Drosophila melanogaster: one gene and its partners. The protein of the gene in region 4 interacts with the protein of the main gene of each other region in a pairwise test. Each region holds a gene or a part of one and is shown on either strand. Other genes may lie near its edges.

What was found.
Region 1: the proteins of CG4853 (region 4) and fus interact in a two-hybrid assay, tested with the Drosophila melanogaster proteins (one large-scale study listed by BioGRID).
Region 2: the proteins of CG4853 (region 4) and Rtca interact in a two-hybrid assay, tested with the Drosophila melanogaster proteins (one large-scale study listed by BioGRID).
Region 3: the proteins of CG4853 (region 4) and RNASEK interact in a two-hybrid assay, tested with the Drosophila melanogaster proteins (one large-scale study listed by BioGRID).

Annotation. Positions count from the first base shown.
Region 1 is NT_033778.4:15,673,391-15,678,625, forward strand, and holds the start of fus (fusilli), read right to left. Parts: upstream 3,280-5,235; 5' UTR 3,112-3,279; exon of another isoform or gene 3,051-3,111; intron 2,564-3,050; exon of another isoform or gene 2,127-2,563; intron 1-2,126. Other genes in the region: Gmppa (GDP-mannose pyrophosphorylase A), read right to left, coding at 3,944-4,044, 4,099-4,363, 4,422-5,124, 5,190-5,235.
Region 2 is NC_004354.4:2,070,625-2,075,772, reverse strand, and holds Rtca (RNA 3'-terminal phosphate cyclase), read right to left. Parts: upstream 3,361-5,148; 5' UTR 3,048-3,360; intron 2,657-3,047; exon of another isoform or gene 2,640-2,656; 5' UTR 2,063-2,639; coding exon 977-2,062; 3' UTR 907-976; downstream 1-906. Other genes in the region: CG4045 (uncharacterized protein), read left to right, coding at 1-104, 155-566, 634-735, 802-906; CG4199 (uncharacterized protein), read left to right, coding at 4,347-4,413. UniProt on the Drosophila melanogaster protein: Catalyzes the conversion of 3'-phosphate to a 2',3'-cyclic phosphodiester at the end of RNA.
Region 3 is NT_033778.4:4,186,215-4,190,172, forward strand, and holds RNASEK (ribonuclease kappa), read right to left. Parts: upstream 1,914-3,958; 5' UTR 1,801-1,913; coding exon 1,732-1,800; intron 1,666-1,731; coding exon 1,546-1,665; intron 1,479-1,545; coding exon 1,380-1,478; 3' UTR 621-1,379; downstream 1-620.
Region 4 is NT_033778.4:17,511,638-17,517,945, reverse strand, and holds CG4853 (uncharacterized protein), read right to left. Parts: upstream 3,730-6,308; 5' UTR 3,530-3,729; exon of another isoform or gene 3,367-3,529; 5' UTR 3,209-3,366; coding exon 2,417-3,208; intron 2,362-2,416; coding exon 1,624-2,361; intron 1,562-1,623; coding exon 1,418-1,561; intron 1,362-1,417; coding exon 1,156-1,361; intron 1,092-1,155; coding exon 842-1,091; 3' UTR 501-841; downstream 1-500. Other genes in the region: APC10 (anaphase promoting complex subunit 10), read left to right, coding at 35-483; CtsK2 (cathepsin K2), read right to left, coding at 4,191-4,896, 4,962-5,170, 5,231-5,578.

The DNA of each region.
Region 1 (5,235 bases), 1.8 Mb from region 4:
AAGTTGGACTGTAGCATAATGCCCTGCTTTTATAGTCTACACTCGAAACTCTTCTCGTTCGAGGGGCTTTATCATCTCGAAGAGCGACCGTGTGGTAATGAGGGATTGCGGTTATAATCTTGCGTCTTGTGCAATTTATGACGTTTGCTTTTTATGGGTTTTAAACGTTTAACGTTTTTGCATCTTGCACCGCCCTTTGGTTTGTTTTTTTTTTCCGTTAGCAGGAAGTCATCATCAATACAGGTTCCCACGATTTCGTACTCCCCAAAAGAACTGCCTCGGCTTTCATAACCAAAAAGCCTAAACTGGTTCGCAAGTTTCTTGATTTTGACACTTTTCTCGACCTCCGGGGTTAGTTAAACCGAAAAGCTGCGTTTACTATTGCCTTAAAGTGCCCTATTTCCTGTTCAGAGACCTTAAGCCCTTACAGCCCATTAAAGACTGTTGATTTACGTCAACCTTTCGAGAGTGGTACATACGTACATATATCATGGATTGTGGTCTTATGAGAGGCTTTATGCGCTTTTAATTGATTGCAATGGAAACTATGAAAAGATACGGTTATGCCAGAAGGGCAGACACGCATTGATAAGTTTCCCTTTCGTTGAAATGAAAAAGGTACTATATTCGTTAATGAATGAATAACGGTAAGCGAGTCGCCCAATTAAGTAAAATAAAGAATAACCAAATAGACAATGGGAAAGCGTTGCGGCCATCATTAAAAATAAGAAACGCTAAACCCTGAATATCACAGCACAGTGGGACCTTCCTATCTTGAACTTGTAATTATTGTACGTTATAAAGATTTAAATAGATTTATATCGTATATCACAGAAACCAATAGAAATGTACCGTTTTTGTTAAGTCAGAGGTAATTTTTGGTAGTTTTCAAAACAACCATTTTCCTCAATATTAATGAGAATACGTATGTTAATCGCACAAATATTTGAATATATTGAGAAATGTAGATTATTGAGAGGTTTGCGTGTTGTGAAGATCGATTTTCGATTACTGCACTGTGCGAAAGACAAAACCATCAAGCCGTTATTAAATTTGAATTAGTGACAGGCGCAGCAGGAGCGGAATAAAAAACTAATACCACAACAGCGGCAACAACTATTGCAATTAATGAATTGCTACCTGCCTATTGGTAAACCAGAAAGTGAGCAGATTTTCATTGTTGGCCGATTGTTTGTTGTATTTCGGACTGGCTTATTAAATTATGAATTGCGCAAGTTTCTGTTTTACGATTTTTGTTTTAAGCATTGTTCCCCGCTTGCATATATGTTTTGTTGTTGTCGCTGGCGTGTGCCGTTAGTTGTTGTTGGAGCAACAGGAAATCTATTATTGCGCAAAAATTGCTGGCGAGAAATGCCAATTGCCAAAGTTATTCGCACAACAAAAAAGTGGTAGAAAAGCGCAGAGAAGAAACGAAGGAAAATGTTTTGGGCTCTCGCTCTATCTGGATTTTTATCTCGTTCCCTCTTTTAACTGGATCTCACGCAAGCAACAAGTGCAACTCTGAAATTGCTGCTGTTTTGTGATTCTGCAAATAAGAAAACAGATTCAGCACTAGGCGATCTTCAAATACGCTTTAGCAGGTGCATTTAAAATTCACACCGTTCTGTTTTTTCCTAAGCAGCATGAGTATCAAATTGGGGTAGTATCTTATCTTGTCGGATTTTAATTACTAAGTTTTCCAAAAAAAAAAACTAGACCATTAATGTAGCGGAATAATTGTCGTTCTATTTAAATTTTCCATAATCATATGGAATCATATGACAAACTTGAAGACTTCTCTAGTGCAGGGTATTCATAAACAAGTTGTGTTCTCTTTCTCTCAGCATCTTCGTTTTGGGCTCCGCTAACTGTAAATTTGTTTTCACTTTGTTTTTGTTAATGTCGCTCATTCATTTTGGTATATTTAATAGATAATTTGATTAACGGCAACAACAAGTGGTTCTCAATCGGATATTTTTCCCTCCCTCTCCCTCATCGACACTCTATGGCGCTCTTTATCTCCCTCTCGCTCTTTTGATTTTTGTTGGATGCCACAGGTTGTTGGTAAATGATATCTACAGCTTCCTCTTGCTCGTCTTCCTCTGTTTCTTCGCTTTCTTACTCACTTTTTTCTCCCTCTCTCAGCGACGCGACTTAACTGTTTTTACTGTTTTCTTATTTTATGATTTTTTTTCTGTTCAACACGTTGTATACATTGCACTTGTTGGCTTTTCACAAATTTTGGTTTTTATTGCACTTTCTTTTCTCTCGCACACAAACTCGAAAAGACCATATGTGTTACAGTTACATTTGATAAAACGCCTGCTATTTTTGTTTTGTGGCCTTTTGAATAGTTTACTATTTTAATTTAAAGCCAGCAAACAAGTATTTTCTTCTTCTTTTTGACCTGTTGCTTCCACCACTTTGTCTTGTTGTCTTTTTCTAGTTGTTGAATTGGTATGAGTGTGCGTGCAAACGTTTCGGTGTGTGTGTGTGTCGAATCTGTTTATTAACTTATTTAACCCGTCGCGCATCCGCTTGGCTTCAAGTCTGAAAAACAACTGATCGCCGCAGCGAAACGCAGGTAACCACGAAGGTAAATTAAGGTGAGCTGCGCTTACCTCTCTCTGTGTCGGTAGACAGAGAGCGAGAGAGCAGACCAAACAAGATTCCATCACGCACATACCAGCAAAAACAACAACATGGCCAGGTATGAGTTTGCCAATAGGCCTTGCGGTAGTTGGCAACTCGGCGGAGAGAGTGAGACACAGAGAGCTCAAGGGAGAGAGTTACACAAACTCCGCCAATAAAGCTTGGCTTAAAGCAAAGAGCTAGTCTATAAGTTTCCCACGCTGCGCAAGACAGTTACGCTCAGTGAGCATGACCCGCGCTTTTCCTCTCTCTCTCTGTCTCTTTCTCGTGCTCCCTCTCGCATAGAAGTTACCTGTGCTGCTCCACCAACACATTCGTCCTCCACCACACATACACACGTACACCTGCATACTGTTTGCTCTGCTCTTCTTCTTCCTCCTCCTCTTCTTCGCTTGCTCAATTACCAACGGAGAACGGTGAATGCCCACGTAGAATAGACTGCTTACCTGGTTACCTTACCTTTTGGCCAGAATCATCATTTCCAGCTAGTGGCCATTATTTGGTAAGTATACTAAGTAGTAAATTTCACTGTTTTAGAAGCGGTGGATATGCACAGATCAAAAGCAACAGGCGACGGCGACTAACTGGCTGACAACCGAGCAACGTAAACGCGTTTTGGTCAAAACGAATAAGAGCGGGAGCGAGAGAGAGAGTGGGAAAATCATCGGGAGCGCACAGGTATTGGTGTGCGTGGGCCGCTTTTTTGAGGAGCAACCGTGTCACGACCCCCAACTACTTGCACTTATCGATATCGGAATGTAAACTCCCCTTTTAAAGGTGCAAGATAAATAATTTACTCGAACAATAGTTAGCTTCCTTTAAAAAAAATAAACAATATGAATGCTGGTATTCTTAATTGCCTCGATTTTTTATAACAAATATACCAATAACTACTACATGTTTTTGATCTGAAAGATACGCTAGTGGGAGTGCGAGCGAGAATATACTGTACGAGTAACGGATATACCTAATTCAATTCCTTATAAAAAGCACACAAATGCAGAAAACTGCATCCCTCGACCACATTTATAAGAAAGTAATACCGCCGTAAAAAGTTTAATACGTAAAGGTATTCGAAAAAAAATTGTTTCCCAACTATCACATATCCATCTTTCAATCATAAAAGCACGAGTGCCGAGTAGTTTACCTTACCGGGTCAAAGACGTAGTAAAATTGGCTGCAGAGGATAAGACACATTTAATAGGGAGTTTTTCAGAATATAGCACAATATAAACATATAAAATGACATACTGATAGGGACACAGAGCGAAGATAAAAAATAAAATCATTCTCACAAGATGATCTCGTTTTTGAAGCTGCGACTGAGCTCCTTGTGCGGCAGTACAATGCTGTTCAGCAGGATTTTCTCGGCGGGCACCTGCACGAAACAGCCTGAAATTGAAAATTAGGATTCAAGAATGTCATCACTCAATTCAAAACACCTACCCAGTATGGTTATCGAGGGGTTTAGCTTGCCCTCGTTGTTGAAAAGCGGTGGGTTCTCCATTTTGGCAAAGGGTTTGTTGGGATCGGGATCACTAGGTGTGCCCTCGACTCGAGCCCAAGCTCCAATGGTGGAGCCCCTGCCCACAATAGAGTGCAGCACGAGCGTATGGTCCAGGATCTGTGCCTGCTCCAAAACAATCGATTCGCGAATGCGCACACCTGGTCCAATTGTCACTCCAGGTCCAATCGCCACATTGGGTCCCAGCTGGAACAGGACCTTTTTGTTAGAAGCACTCTAAAAAATAAGTTTGATCTAGACCAACCACTGCGCTGTGATGGACAGTGGCACTGGGATGCACATAGACGTCCGGATGCACTGTGCAGATCAAGCTGCCGTCCCCTTCTCCGCGCTTGATCCCCACATTGGCCAATCTCTCGGGATGCGTTTTCTTGTACAGGCCAAGATAATGACGATTTGCGTAGATTGCCGACCCAGCAGTCTTCAGTTGGGACCACCAGTTAGGCACTGGCATGGCAAAGAGTTTATCGGTTCCAGCCAGGGGCGTAAGCACCTCCTGTTCCCACTTGATGTGCCCCTGCTCTCGTCCATTTCCATTTCCGTTTCCATTGCAAAATGCCTGGCAGCTGTACTCCTGACCTCTCGAATGAAAAATCTGTGCCAACACCGTGAATATATCCATGGAACAGACATACACCCCACAGTTGATAAATGTGGACACATAGGAGCTAGGCTTTTCTACATAATGCGAAACGGCTCCGCTACTCCGATCGAAAACCAGACAGCCGTAGTGCAAGGATTGCTGACGTGTCGCCTCCGTGGACATGATAGTAACCAGAGCACTCGCCGGGCGCTTCTCGTGAAAGTCGCACAGTTCTTGCAGCGGAAAATCAGCGCAAACATCTCCGTTCAATACGAAGAAGGCTCGGGGGTTACCAGCTCTAATCTGATCCCGGAAATGGTACATTCCGCCTGCAGTGCCCAAGGCAGTGAACTCCTGAAGGTACCTATGATAAAGGGTAGGTCAACTTGGAACTTAAGATTCAAGTTCTTCCAAAGCCCCTCTTCCCACCTGATGTTGATGTTGCTGCTGCTGTACAGGGCCTGCATGTCGCCCA
Region 2 (5,148 bases), on a different chromosome or scaffold from region 4:
CCGGATGTGCTAAACCCCACGTCGGCGGTGACGGGGTTGCCACAAAAGCGCTACTACCGCCAGCGTGCGCACTCGAATCCCATTGCGGACCACAGCTTCGACTAGTGAGTAGACCACGAAATGGACTGCACACACTAAAGGCTCCTTCACATAGTCCTGCTCGCCCGGAAGATGTGGACTGGCGCTCCATGTACCCAGGCATTCAGCAGGGCCAGCAGGTAAGTTTTGCGGACATAGGCTGCGGCTATGGCGGCTTTCTCGTCACCCTGGGGGAGATGTTCCCCGAGAAGCTGTCCATCGGCATGGAAATCCGCGTCAAGGTGTCGGACTACGTGGTGGACCGGATTGCGGCACTGCGTCGACGATGCGCGGATACGGGTGCATACCAGAACATTGCCTGCTTACGCACCAACGCCATGAAGTATCTGCCCAACTACTTCGTAAAGGGCCAGCTGGAGAAGATGTTCTTCCTCTACCCGGACCCACATTTCAAGCGCGCCAAGCACAAGTGGCGTATTATCAACCAGGCTCTACTCTCCGAATATGCCTATATCCTCAGGAAGGGGGTAAGTCCAACAGTTTCCTGAAAGTACTCGAAATGCGGTCTGCTTACTGCTTAGTCTGCTTACCCAGGGTCTGTTGTACACCATGACGGACGTTGAGGACTTGCACAAGTGGATAGTGACACATATGGAGGAGCATCCGCTGTACGAGCGTCTTACCGAAGAGGAGGCCGTACGTAGTTCAAAACCGAGATCACGCAGCCAAGTCACACATTAATCATTACGTTTAAACCCACAGAATGCTGATCCCATCACCCCGAAGCTGTACCAAAGCAGCGAGGAGGGCGCTAAGGTGGTTCGAAACAAGGGCGATCATTTTCTGGCCATTTTCCGGCGCCTTTAGGACACGTATATTCTCTATATATGTAGACATTAATTTAAGGTTTCCTTAGAGTAAAGAGATCTATCGATTGTTAAATCAACTTGTTCACATGTCCCAAGCCCTTGCAGCTGACTAGCATCTGGCCGCCGGGCTCCATCGCCACATCGAACTTGACCCCTGTCATTTGCTCGGCTACATTGATGGCGGTGCGCGTGTGATTGGTCAGCTTGCCTGTGCGCATCGTTGAGCGGCCCACGGCCAGGGCCATGTAGATGATGAGCTGGTCCTGCATGTAATCATCAACGCAGACCTGTTTGCGCATGTAGTCGCCCAGTTGGCACGACGCCTCTGAGCCGAGAACGTGTCCGTCGATCCTCTTTTTGCCCAATGCAGAAGCACCTAGGACAACGTCGGAGGTCGTGTTGACAGTCATCAGGATGCCGGCTCCGTTGTGGAATGCCTTCTGGCGTGAATGCTTAATCGGCTCGATGCTGCACTGCTGGGACGGCCACAAACGATGTATCTCGCGTTGAGCCGTCTGTTGCATGTCAATAGCAATATTTACCGGCAAGCGGCCGGCGCAGTAGGCCACTCCGCTGACCGATTTGATGCGGCCGAAAGCCACTAATTTTCCGGAATTCAGCTTGGTCACGGGTTGCACGTCCAACTGGCATCTGCCTTGGCCGCGTGGATAGAAGCCGTACCGCTGCACCTTCAGGTCGAAACTAACCCCGAAGTGTTTTAGGTTGGGCAGCAGCACCTCCTGCATGTATTCCACCGGAGGCGCAAAGTCGACGTTCGTGCCCCCGGATACGATCAGGCGGGACGGGCGTCCGGCAAAGAGAAGTACTGGGAGCGCCATCTGATAAATCAGAGTAATGCTGGCCGCCGTGTGCGTTTCCACGCGATACGTGTTGTCCAAAATGGTGCGCGGCGTGAACTCCACTGTGGAGGAGAGCAAGTAGTTTCCCACCACGTCCGCATTGGTTATGTCCCGCAGGAGGTTCAGCCCATGCAGGTGCTGGTGCGAGAGCCCAGGACTCGGGCGGCTGGCCCGGATCTTTACCACGCGCACCGGTTTACCCAAAATGCAGCTGAGGCTGAGGGCGTTGCGCAGGGCCTGCCCGCCGCCCTCCAAGTAGGAGCCGTCGATCTCCAACATTTTTTCCGCGTCCATTTTCCCAATTTATTTATGTTCAGGGATTTTCAGTCTGGTTTCCTCTCAGGTTGTCAGCCAAGTGTGTGTCAGAACAATCGGAGCAATCAAATATCACAATGACAGGGGCTAAGAATAACAGCTCCATTTCACTCGATTGGGACGGCACACTGTGATCCGGGCAGTGTGCCCGACGCTCGCGTTTGCTTGGAAACAAACACCTGCCACTGTGGAACCACTCAAGGCGCGCACCATTCGAACTGGTCCGGCAGCACTGGCCAGACGTAAACAAGCGAACTTTTACAAAATAATACATTACCAGCGCAATAGTTAAAAGTTAACTAGAGATGGCTGTGTAAGTGTGCAGTGTCCGCCGGCGCATGGTCGTACGTGCCGCCTTCAGGCGATTAACTTATCTGCAACGTGCCATCGCGAAGGCAATTATGTATCTTGTTCTAGTCCAGCTTAGCAGTGGTTTAACTGGCCCGAGGCATCGAAGGCGAATCACTTGGCAATTGGGCAATCGCTAGCTTGGTCCTCCTTCTCCACTGGAATGCTTGACTGGCCTTTTTGCCTGTCCGTGTCCAAAGTAGGAGGGCTGCAAATAAGAAAAAAGTAACTAATAACTAATACATTTAATTGAAACCACTTTCCGTTGGAAAATGCTCTTCGAGTTTTTAAGGCTCAACTGTATTTTGAGAGTCCCATTCCCTGGGTCTGATAAAAATAAGCCTATCCGCATAACTGGACTGTGTCAACATTCGCTCAAGCAGACATTGACGGAATGGGCTTAGGACATAATACACCTGACATGGCTTCCATGCGTATAGAATGATATTGAATGTGTACGCTCTTAAGAGCATTATTTTCGAACTCCTTAACCAAAGACAAGAATACAATGTGTCCAAAGATACAATGTTTACCTCGAGATAGCGAGATATCAACAATTTGTTCGGTACTATCCGTATCAACAGGTCTAAGGAACAGCCATTTCCCAATTACTTACGAAGGCAGTGACGGAAAATTTGGTTTACTTATCGTTCTGGTTATTCCACTCGAAGAGTCATGGCAACCGCAATAAAACGCTGGTATTTCGTGTTCTTGTTCTAGTTCCGCTGGCGGTGATGCAATTCTGCCGGCACTGACTGTGGCACGATGGGCTTAGCTCAGCTCAGCCAACAGGTACATATGTTGGTCGCCAAGTGCATTGGTCCGAATCGCGAAGAAGGCCAGCTATGTGTTACCCTCTACGACTTCTTGGTGCTGGCCACAGGCTGGTGGAGGAGATTGCTTCGAAGTGAAGTGCGGCGACGGCAAGGTCGCGAAGTTTTTGTTAGTGGAACACACGAGAATGGTCGGAAAGGCTGACAACTGCGGTCAGCGTTATAGTTTCCAGCGCTCTGCATTGGGTACCTCATAGGTAGTTTATCCTGCCAAGAAATTTTCTTGTTTCGTCTAGGTAGTCTTGGCGCTTGTTTCATCTATAATCGCATTATACACATGAGAGATGCATTGAACAGGGAGCGTTGCGATTACACAGTAGGGCTGGCTCCTAGTATCTTGACCGTTCCTGTGTCCACGGACACACACAGAGCCCAGAAGTGCGTGTGTGTTGGGGAGGCACGAAGCTTCCAGTTCCAGTCGAATCCAGCGACGAAGTTGCGCGCCATACGCGGTCCGCAGTTCACGCGCGCCAGACGTGCCTCGCATTGCATTGGCTCTTGCTCTCCCGGCTCTCTCGCAGCGTTCCTGGTCCACTCGACTCCACTTCGCTTATCTCGGCACAGACGCGGACCCCCGACCTGTTGCACGCTCCCAGGCTCTCATCCTCCCTTCCACGCGATATTCCAGTTGTTTTGTTTTTGTTTTGTTTAGTGTTGTTGTGGAGAGTGGTGAGTGATGATTGGCGACTAAAAGCAATTCGCAAATAAACAACGACGTGTGTTGTGTGTGCTGCAAAAAACAGCATCTCGGACACGTTTGGGGGAGTTCAGCACATCCATCTGCGGCTGATGACTCAGGCTGTGGAGGAATAATTAAATAGAAATGATTAACACGCGGGAACTAACTAACTGATAACGAGCTTTGGCACAGTGATTGATTGTTATTAAGTGAAAAGTAAAGCTCCTAAACTGGCCACTCAACTTTCAGGTGGCAGTCCCCTCGCACAGCTCTGAGCTTGGTCAAAACGAAACGAGCCTTTGAAGGCCTTCTGAGGATACGCAAGCTCCCGTCCAGCCAATCCTGGAGGATACTCAACGCCCCGTCTTTTGCGAGCCACATCAACAACCGCCTGTTAAACACAATGGGTTCCGTCAACTGCAAGGAGTACAAGACCACGGGCAGCACTCCCAAAAAGGAGAAGTCGACAGGTAAATGCACGATTTACAGATGAATAGTTTTCGAAAGGTCAATTGCCAAACAACAAGGCAAGGTCGCATTTCCAATTTGACTGCGCCACTTCTAATCTCGCAAATGGTTTCTTCCCAATAAAATAAGATCATCTTGCCCAAAAAAAAAGTTCCAAATGTACTTAAACCAATCCCTTCGTTTTCCGACTTCAATTCGAAAAGTGCGTGGTAATGTCGTAGATGATCCGATTGCCACCAGTGCCGTGTTCCTTTTACCAACTAAACGAGGCCAAATGGCTTGGAGTTGTGATTAGGAGAGTGGGAATGACCCGCATTAGATGGGTGTTTTCGGGCCGGGCGTAGGTGCCTAGATGATTGTCTCAGCGGCACAAGTCCAAGAGATTGGCAAAGAGATAGGGACGGCGGGAGGGCGCAACTTGCTTGAACTGCTGCTGCGTCATTGCCACAGTAGCTATCGATGCGGGAATACTTAATCCCGGGTACTAATTCCCCTAAAGCGACAGTTTCCCTGTGGATATCCAATAGCATGGCCATCTTTACCACCTTGAATGGAGTTACAGGAGCTCCTATGTATGGTTGCGACGCTCTGAAGTTTCCTGTTCTGAGTCTTACAGGGTATCTTTGCGTGTCTCTGTTAGGCAATGGCCACTGTACCACTGCGGTTAGTCACCGCCATCGGAATTTCGTCTGTGTTGTGTGCCTGCCTATTGTCTATTGCCATGTCTTGCATTCGTT
Region 3 (3,958 bases), about 13 Mb from region 4:
TATCAAAAATAATATAGATTTAAAGTCTAAGAACTTTTAAGGTGAAGGGCATATTTTGTCAAATTTACAATGCATGAGCATACGTGTGCACACATACAGTTGTCTGCTATCACTGCAGGCGTCGAAAAGAGCTGTTCGCTGTAGCGCTCTCCGCTCTCTCGCTCTCGAACAAAAATTTGAGAGTATGGCACTACGCATCTGTTACTCTAGTGTCTTCGGTTCGGTGACTTGGTCCCTGTCTCCGGCTCGATGAACCAAAGGCAATGTTTGACGACCCTAAACGAAAATGCGTTTCCTTCTGGAAATAGGCTGATCGAGGATCATTTATCCTGCAGAAAGATTATGCTCCGTGCCACAAAGCCCGAATGATAGCCAAGTTTCTAAAGGCTGTTGGCGTCACTCTCTTGAATTGTGCACCTCAAAGTCCAGATTTAAATATAATTAAGAAATCTGGTCTCTTTTAAAACGGAAAATAACTGTTCCGTGACACAAAACTCGTTAGAAGGCGATTTCTGAAATCACTTCTCTTTTTAAAGAGATGATCCTTTACAATATGGAGGATTTAGTAAAGGTTCGACTTACTTACACACAAAAAATAGACATTACTATCATATTAAACCATTTAAAAGTTTCACTGAAAAAAGGTTTGGAGTTTATTTTGTCAAAATGCTTACCGACTAGTGTATGTGGATACAGCAACACAGCGCACAAGATAATCTCGTGTTCATATGTACATGTTACAGAACGACGTAACGTAACATAATTAATTACCAGCTTGATATAGGAAATCAAGACAGTAATGACCTTACTAACTACTTTAATTAATTTATAAATAAAATATTTGTAAGTTGGGTAATTTAATAATAGCTATCAACAAAATTAAAAACAGTACGAATAATTCATGTCTCGCCAAACCGTTCCACACAATATCAGTAATAACCGTAATAAACATTTAAAATACCTTTTTTTAGGTCTTCCGTAGGTAAAATTCCCGTGGAGAAATAAAATATCATTTCAACAATTTGTTCAGATTGACCTCTTTAATAAAAAAAAGTGCTTTCATGACTCTGAAGGAAATTCCGGAGTTTGGATTTATCGCTACTATAGTAATCAAATATATTAATTCTCAAAATTTAAATATATAACAGAAATAAGAAGTGAATGGCGCACTGAACACATGAAACATAAAAAATGAAGTGAATAGTCTTCTTTGGGGTTTAAAAAACACAAACTCCTCACTCCGCCCCTTAATACAATAAGCATGTTGTAACATTTAAATTGAACTTTAACTTTATTAAAAGGAAAACACCTCTAACAAATATATCGAAGGGAAAATTTCAATACTAGTTTTAAGTAGTTGGGAAACTACATCTGAAATATTAGTTGGCAGTTACTCTGCTATTCATGTAAAATTGCTGGGCGGAGAGCAACAAAGTCAAAACATATATACATGCGGCAATCCAGCAGTTGTAGGCATTCTGAAAAAATTTACCTTGCATTAGCAGACGTATGTGTACATATGGTTGTTGTAAAAAGAGAACATACCTGATTGTATGCTCTATTTGCAGCTGCATAAAAATCTTCCAACGAATGGTATTCCTCCTCAAGAGGTAAGTCCTCAATGAGGGCTACACTATTTATGTAGAAGAATAGACCCATTAAAACCTTTAACATAAATATGTAAGTGGTTACTTTTTGAAACTTTGACGAAATTAGATTCTCAGTACTCACCAATTGGACAATACCCCAAACAGAGATAATAAGACCACAAAGTGATAGTTTCGGGCCACAGATTTTCATTTTCTTAAATTTTTGTTAAACACTTTTAAGAGAATAAAAAGTTTCAGCAAACACAATTCGTCACAATTCCTCAATGAAAACTGTGATTTTGTCAGGTGAACATATCATGTGACCAAACTTTTGGTGTGGCTGTGCACAAATAAAATTAAAAAACTGATGCAAATGTAAGCGATAAAAAACATAAGCTCGTCAAACTAGCGTCGGTGAGCTAGTGACGATTTAGGAGCGGTGGAAAAGGAACAAGGGCCGTTTTAGTAATTTTAGTCACTGCCCGGAGCGTGTGAAGCGCAATGGTCAACATTCTACTGCCCGGAGCGTGTGAAGCGCGATGTCAGCATTCTGCCGTGAGCGCTGCTTCAGAAAACGGGCTACTTCATATTAAGCTTAAGTTTTCTGTCTTTAGTTTTAAAACTCATCAGAACGCGCATAGTCGCATAATAAATCGCAATACACAAAATCGTTGCCTGTTAATTTATATAACAATATATATATAATATATTATAATATATATATTATATATATATATATATATATACAATACAATACAATAAGTATAATAAATAAATATATATATACATATATATATATATAATAATAATAATTTTAATATTATTAATTTTATTATTATAATTATTAATATTTTAATATATATGTCGGAGATTGAGTAGATCTAACATATTATTTGAATTATTATTTGAATGTAACCGACATTTGTTTATTGATCCGTATGTTAAGGATGAGCAGCGAGTAATAAAATTCACGGAATGAGTTCCGTTATTGAGTGGGCATCATTTGTGTGTGTATTCAAATTAGCATGGCGCCTGTTGTTGTTGTGGTAGAGTTTTGTGGAAACGAAGTAAGGATAAAACAAAAAAAGAATTTTGAAGATGAGAAATAGAAGAATAGCATCGAGAAGGCGACGCTTGAGTAAATAAGTCTGGTGAGAACTGCCAAAGAGACAACACGCAGGCGACTTGCTGTGCTAATTAATTGGACGCTCGGCTTCACCGACATATATATATTATATTATATCATATATATATATTAACATATCCATTCTATACCCACAACTCCCCAACCACACACACTATCGTAAACAATTACACACACACATCAATGTGTAAGTACGAAATGTAATTAAAGATCGAGAGCCCTTCGATTAAGCTTAGCTGTCAATTACTCACAGCAAAGTGCAAAAGTCCGAATTCCAAAGTCTAGACTCTGCGTCGAGCCAACGTCCACGTCCCCTAAATATCCGATCACTTGGTGAACCAACTGAAATAACAAAAACTTCCGCCCACACAATCGTCTCAGGATTCTCCAATTAATCCTATTTTTCGGAAGCTCCTCTCTTAACAGGAGAATAGACGTTGATAACGTTGTTCTCTTAAGCTTCGCTCTTAAGCTATCCCAATCTGCCTACATAAACCCAAACATGCCCCAATACGTTAGTTCAGTTCTGAGTACGTTATCAATCGCCATAACCCTGCTTAAGATTGAACCACGCGAATCGGCGCTAAAGTGAACATAAAATCGTAATACAATTAACTCTTTTATCCGCAAAAGAACTACTTATAATCGGTGGTTGACACGCAATAGTCAAACCTACTGCATACGGTCAATAAAAGTGTAAAAACAAAAATAAAAATAAAATCATCAGCCATGGCAACCGAGCAAGTCAAACTGTTATCGGAATCCCATCTGAATCAAGCCTTAAGCCAAATTAGGCAAATACCCACATTCAGTGGTAATACCCCAGAACTCAGTGCCTTTATCCGAAAGATCGATTTCATACTTCCAGTCTATCCATCAACCGACACCAGTTAAAAACATGTATTCTTCAGCGCAATTGAGATGCAACTCGCCTCGCGCGATAAACGAGTTCACATGCGTCTGATTTGGTTTTTCCAAAAATATTGACAACCTACAATTTCGTCTTGTCTTATTTTTTGATAGGGTTTTATCAAAGACTCTAGAATAACAAGATGCGTACCGCCATAACGACTTTTTGGCACACGATTTTTTCGGCGTGGCTCTAGAGGTGGCTCCAGGCTCTCCCGAATTTTTGTTCAAGATCGAGAGAGCGGAGAGCGCTACAGCGAAAAGCTCTTTTCTACGCATACAGTGATAGCAGACAACATGCATTGTAAATTTGACA
Region 4 (6,308 bases):
CCTTACATATTCTACAATTTTCTTTGGCCTTCAGGATTTGGTGTAGAGCGTTTGCGAGACAACATCATGGATACTTATTGGCAGTCGGACGGTCAGCTTCCCCACCTGGTCAACATTCAATTCCACAAGCGTACGAACATCAGTCAGATTTACATATACACGGATTACAAGCTGGACGAGAGTTACACGCCATCAAGGATCTCCATACGATCTGGAACGAACTTCAACGACTTGCAGGAGCTGCAGGTGATGGACCTGACCGAACCCACCGGCTGGGTGCAGATACCCATTAAGGATGGGAACGTCAAGTCCATACGCACCTTCATGCTTCAGATTGCTGTGATCTCGAACCACCAGAATGGCAGGGACACCCACATGCGCCAGATCCGCATCCATGCGCCCGTCGAGGGCAAGCACTATCCTCTGGAACTGTTTGGCAAGTTTGGAACGGTCGACTTTCAGAAGTTCGCCACCATTCGTTAGGGAAAACTTTGGGATTTATCGAAGTCTTTTATTTTTATGTATTTTTCGGGGTATATAACTGCTAAAATACAACATTTAAAACATTACTTTAGTAATTTTATGCATATTTTTGGTGTTTCTAATTAAATGCCCGTCACTTGTATATATATAATTCGAATGCAAATAAATATATACCGTCGTCTAAGCTTAAGTACAAATTAACAAACACAGTGGAAGTGTAAGAGTTATTATTGTTACTGTTTTATCGCGATACAAATGCAAAATGTGAAAATGGAACGCCAACGAAAGAGTGCGAGAATTATTGCATCGTTTTGTATTGTATTGCACTATCTCGAGGATTGTCGTTAATGATTGGTGATTATGTGTTCGATTTCCTTGCAGCTTTCAACGTCTTGTAGTGATCCTTCTCCTCGCCGGTCTCGGGTGGCTCGCTTTCGTAGGAGGCCTTCATCAAAAGATCCTCGCTCAGCACCTCCGCCTTCAACAGGTAGGACACCACACTAGGCAACTGCTCGTATGGACAGTCCAATCGCTGCCATTTGCCAAAATTCCGCAGCTGGGTGCCCAAATGAAGGCACTTCTCAAAGTTTATGTATCCGTTGGCCAATCTGCAAACGGATTTGAATTCGGTTAATCTCGAAACAGAGCTCATTTATGCACAAACAAACTCACTTTGTTTCATGGCTCTCGTTAATGGCATGCAAATCTTTGAGGAACAGCGAGAAGAATGGGATGATGGCACGCTCAATTTCGTTGGCCATTTCCCTTTCCGAACGCCAAACAGCTGCCTTCATGGTGGATCTGTAGTTAAGAAAGTTCGAACTGGGATCCATTTGATGCTCCAAACCCTCGAACTTTGTCGTCTGCACTTTGGCCCACTATAAAAAATAGTAGTAAAATCAGACTTCACTCGTTTTACTTAACGAAAACTCACCGTTTTCTTTAGGCGAGCTATGGCAGTAAGATTCAATGCTGTTAGAATGGCCATCAAGCTGTTGAAGTTGCCTGTGTTAAAGCATTCCAGAGCTGTTTCCACCCAGAAGTCGATCATTTGTGCTCTCTGGGACTTTTTGCCCAACTAGGAACGAACGAATCATATTTTTTATTTGATTAATGGTTAATTTTTTTTTTAGTACTCACCTTTAATATTTCCGTTGCAGTCAAGTAGCTTAGCTGGTTGAACCACTGCACGTAACTGTCGATTGTCACCTGGCTGATGCAATTCGAACCCAAGGTGCCCGCCTTGGTTTGGCTTATGCAGGTCTTCAGCTCATCCTTTTCGAGGATTTCCACAAACTCCTCAAGACGTATTTGTGACAGATAGGCGTACTCGATGGCATAAAGTTGGTGAGCCAACTCGAAGGCACTGCTGCAGTTGTTTAGCACATTGTCTGTTTTGTAGACATTGGCGGCAAAGCGTTTCAGCGACTTAATACTGCTCTGACGTCCCAACGAGCTGGCCGACGATTGCTTGGTAAGCAGGTTATTTAGTTGACTTCGTCCATTTTCGTCCTTTTGCGCCAAAGCTTGGGGAATTCCATCCAAAAAAGCTGCCAATCCTTTTACATTACGCTTATTTTCCAGCTCCTGCAATAGCAGTTCATGGCTAAAGTCCCCGGGACAGGTGTCTAGCCATTCGTTCAAAAGTCGTAACACGTTTTCCTCCTCATTATCAATCTTGGCAATGATTTTGGAAAGCAGCTGGTGTGGTGGTGAAAACAAGCGGGAAGTGGTCAGAAAGGCAAACCGCAAATCCTTAGTATTATTATTGATAAGCAGGTTGACCACCGAATCCAGGTTGCCCTTCTTGGGTATGTCTTTGGCGTAAACTGGCGCTGTTTGGCAATCGAATGGCTCTGTGATCTTCAAGTGGGTGTTCTAATTTAGGTAAATTATTAGTTATTTAGCGACTGGCAAATCCGTTCAAACTTACTAGGATAGAAACCGCATCCGACTCATCTGCGGAGCTGGGAATGTCGCAGTACAAAGAGTCGGTTAAGGTGTCACGTGGATGTGACCAGGGTGCACTCATCGACACGCTGTGGAAGAGGCCATCGTGCCCGGAGTCGCAGCTGCTTATATTCGAGCTTTTGTCCCCAATAGTGGTGGATGATACAGATCCGATGACCTGATCGGATCCAGTAATAGCAGAGCTGCTGGACATAAGGGAAGCATTCGAGAAGGTTTGGTTCAGCTGCCGGCCCAAAGGATCAACTGGACGCTCGTCCGAGTCTGTGGCCTGCGATGCGAACGTGGAATTCGAAGTGGTTCGGTATTTGAGGGCATTCTCGGGAGTGGCACGCGCCAAGGCCGACTGCTGCTTGACAGGATGCCAGATCTCTTTCTGGTGCGACTGATGGTTAAAGTTTTCCTTGGTCTCCACGGTGCGTTCGTCTAGGATTTGTCCGTTGCGCGAGACCAGCACCTCCTCCGTGGTGGTCAGAGAGGACTTGACGGTCAACGAGGTCTCTACCTCGATGGGCTGTTGGGCCAATCCGGCGCGGAAGAGCAATTGATTCAGGTGCTCAACCGATGGCATCTGCCCCTCCAGCAAAGCTGCCTTTATGGCACTGGCATCATCCGCCGGCAGCCCATCCAGCTTCACCGGCACTCCGTTGACCAGCAACACCTCCTCCTGCTGCAGCGAGGATGAGGTTTCGCAGTCCACGATCTTGACATCCTTGCCGAACAGGGACTCCACAGCGTTTAGGATATCTTCGTCCATGCTTGGGGCGGGGTTATCGGGGATGGGGAAAGTGCAGACACACGGGGATCTCTGGAGAAACGTGACTATTTGGCTGCGATGGTTGTTAAATGCGTTATGACCACAGGGGGACTCTTTGGATTAGTCGCAATGCACATGCACCACTATCGCGTACATTTCTGGAAAGGAAGGGGCAAGGGGAAACCTCGATTAGCACACACACAGTGGGAGAAAGACAGGTGGCCGGGGGCTTTGGTTTCGTGCGCTCTGGTGACAACGCCCACTTTCCCAAAAGTGGGCTGGTCTCTTCTGATCAGAACATCGCTTCCGGAGCAGACACACCTGCAGGAACACTGTTGCGCGGTGGCCTTCCATCGGACGCACTGCCGCCTTTCGTCACGGCATTCCCCGCCTGCTGCTCATCAAATGTCCGCCGTTTTTTCTGCGCCTAATATAGTTTAATTCGCCAATTGACTTAATTTATTTCTATTATTGTTGTCTCGGTACAGCGATACCATCGATGTTTACACAAATTTGGCAATAATCGATATCCCCAACTGGGGAAATCATCGATTACTTGCTTTCTTGCTGTAAATATCCGCATCTGGCAACGCTTTTAACAGGTTTTAAAATGTCAAGCGTTATTTCCGTTACTATCCCCAAACATTTTTTTAATTTACCCGAATATCTAGATCTTCTTGTTTGGACATAAAGGTCTGGTTATTGTTCACATCAAATTGCTGAACTCCTCTAAAGTTCGTTTAGTGCCCAATTAACCCGTGAATAGTTTTAAATTTCCAAAAGATTCTTGTTTATTCCTCTTTAATTTGTTATCTGTAAATATTTAAGCAAAGCAATGCATTGCATTACTTTCGTTTAACTACTCTAATTTAGCAGCATTATAATTAAGAAAAGACTTTTATTTAAGAAATGGACGCAACCAACGCCAAGTCCACATCACAAACTGCACAGTAAATTTTGCCATAAATTTCGGATTCCCCGCTTAAACCACGGGATAGGAGCACTCCTCAGCAATGAAGCAGTAGTTTTTGCCGCGAGGCAGGCGGAAGTAGCCCTTTTCGCCCCAGGTGTCGTCCCAGGAGTTCTTGACGATCCAGTAATCCTGTCCTTTCTCCGATCCGTAACCGACGACCAGAATGGAGTGGTTCGGCTCGCCCTTGTTGCACTCATCGTCGTTATAGATGCCACCGGCGTAGTTCTTAAGAGTCTCCAAACCATTCACCGAACAGGCAACTGGTCCCAGAGTGGCCACCACCTTCTTCAGCTGCTCCTCGTCCTTGGGCGGAATAGCGGCGAATCCCTGGAGGGTGGCTCCGGACTTGCTGCCATCGTACTTGCACGTGCCCTTGTTGTCAATGTAGGGATAGGCCCCCTCCTGGGACACACCCTTTTGCACCTCATCGATGAAACAGAATGCGGCCTCCTGGAAGCCACCATCGCAGCCATTCAGGCCAAAGTCCTCCACCGGACCACAGTCGACCAGATTCTGCTCAGAGAGATTGGGCAGGCTGCCGGTCTTGCGGAAGGTGTGTCCCTCAATGGCACCAGTGGTGGCAAAGGCCCAACAGGAGCCACAGGTACCCTGGAATTTGACTGGTGTGACACCGCCATGCTCGCGCCAATCGAAGGCATCCGGGATGGGCTTCGCAGGCAGGTTGACCAACTTCAAACTGGCAGCAGCTCGAGCCCTGGGTGCAGATATAGAATTGATAAAATCCTATGCCGGCTGTGCAAATGGTTTGTTAGCACTTACTTAGCCTCCGGACTTCTCTTCAGACCGGTCAATTGACTAAGGAACTCAGAGTGGGTCAGATCGGCGAAGGCGTTCACGGCCTGCTTGAAGGTGTGCACTCCTTGGGCAAAGGCTGCGTTTCCGGCTTCCACCAGGTTCTTGGTGGAAGCGAAGGCACCTTCATGAAGAGCGCGATCAGCGGCGGAGAGATAGGTCTTTCCAGATTGGCTCTGCAAATCGGTTGAAGTTTTACTTCTACCTTTGAAATTGATCAATGCTGCCTATCTCACCAAGAAGTCACCAAAGTCCTGGACGTTTGAGAGCAGCGGCACCTTGGGCACAGCCTTGGCAATGTTGCCCACGGCATTCTGAACGGCGCCGGCCACATTTTGTAAAGCTCCACCCACTCGATTGTTGCCCAAGCCTCCGAGTCCACCTCCAAATCCGCCTCCGAGTCCACCTCCAAATCCGCCTCCAAATCCACCGCCTCCGAATCCCTGGCCAGAGACCACAGCCACCAGAAGTGGAAGAACCAACAGAAGCTTCATACTGATCTGCCAAAAGACGAAACTATTAGTTCCGACTGGTTTTGTAGTCGAAGGGTGAAACGGCGATGCACTAATTATATTTGATTGCATATGATCGGCTTATCAGCCGATTTGCTTGTCTATTGCAAATACGAGATACTATTGCACAAATTTTTCTGATGCGAGTAATCGCAAGTAATTCCCAATAGACTAACCTAACGCGCTCGCACGGTCCACACAAATGTTTTTGTCTCGACCGTCGATCGGGGCTTATATAGCCATTAGACTAGTAGGTTTCAGGCTATAAACTGGCCAACCTCGCCCCCACCCGATCCATTCAAATCCATAAATCCCAAGTCCAGTGATTCGGAATTATACAGAAATCGAAACGCGTTGATTATACCATGCATATCGTATACGAGTATGTGCTATATCTGTTTTGATGTGTGCGATCCGACCGATCCAGCGATATTCGCCGTGTGGTTTGGGAACTCGTCTCGGTTCATTAGCGCCATGCAAGATGGTTCGGAATATGGGAGAGTATTAGAATTTAATCTATTTTGGTCCAGATTGGGTGTGTTTAATAAAGTGGATAAATCTTGATTATTTGACTTTTATGTGATAGAACGATTACGCATTTGGGCTGCTTTCTATCTGAATGCATTCGTATATTTGATCGCACGGATTCTCGTTTGCAATTAACACTTTTAATCACTTCTCAAGTCACTTTTTGATAACGTATGCTTTCAGGAAAAACCGGAACTCGACGAAAACCCGTTGTTAAATTCGTGTAAATTAGGTATTACGTGAAGTGCATGGAGTATATTTTGAAGCTTAAAAG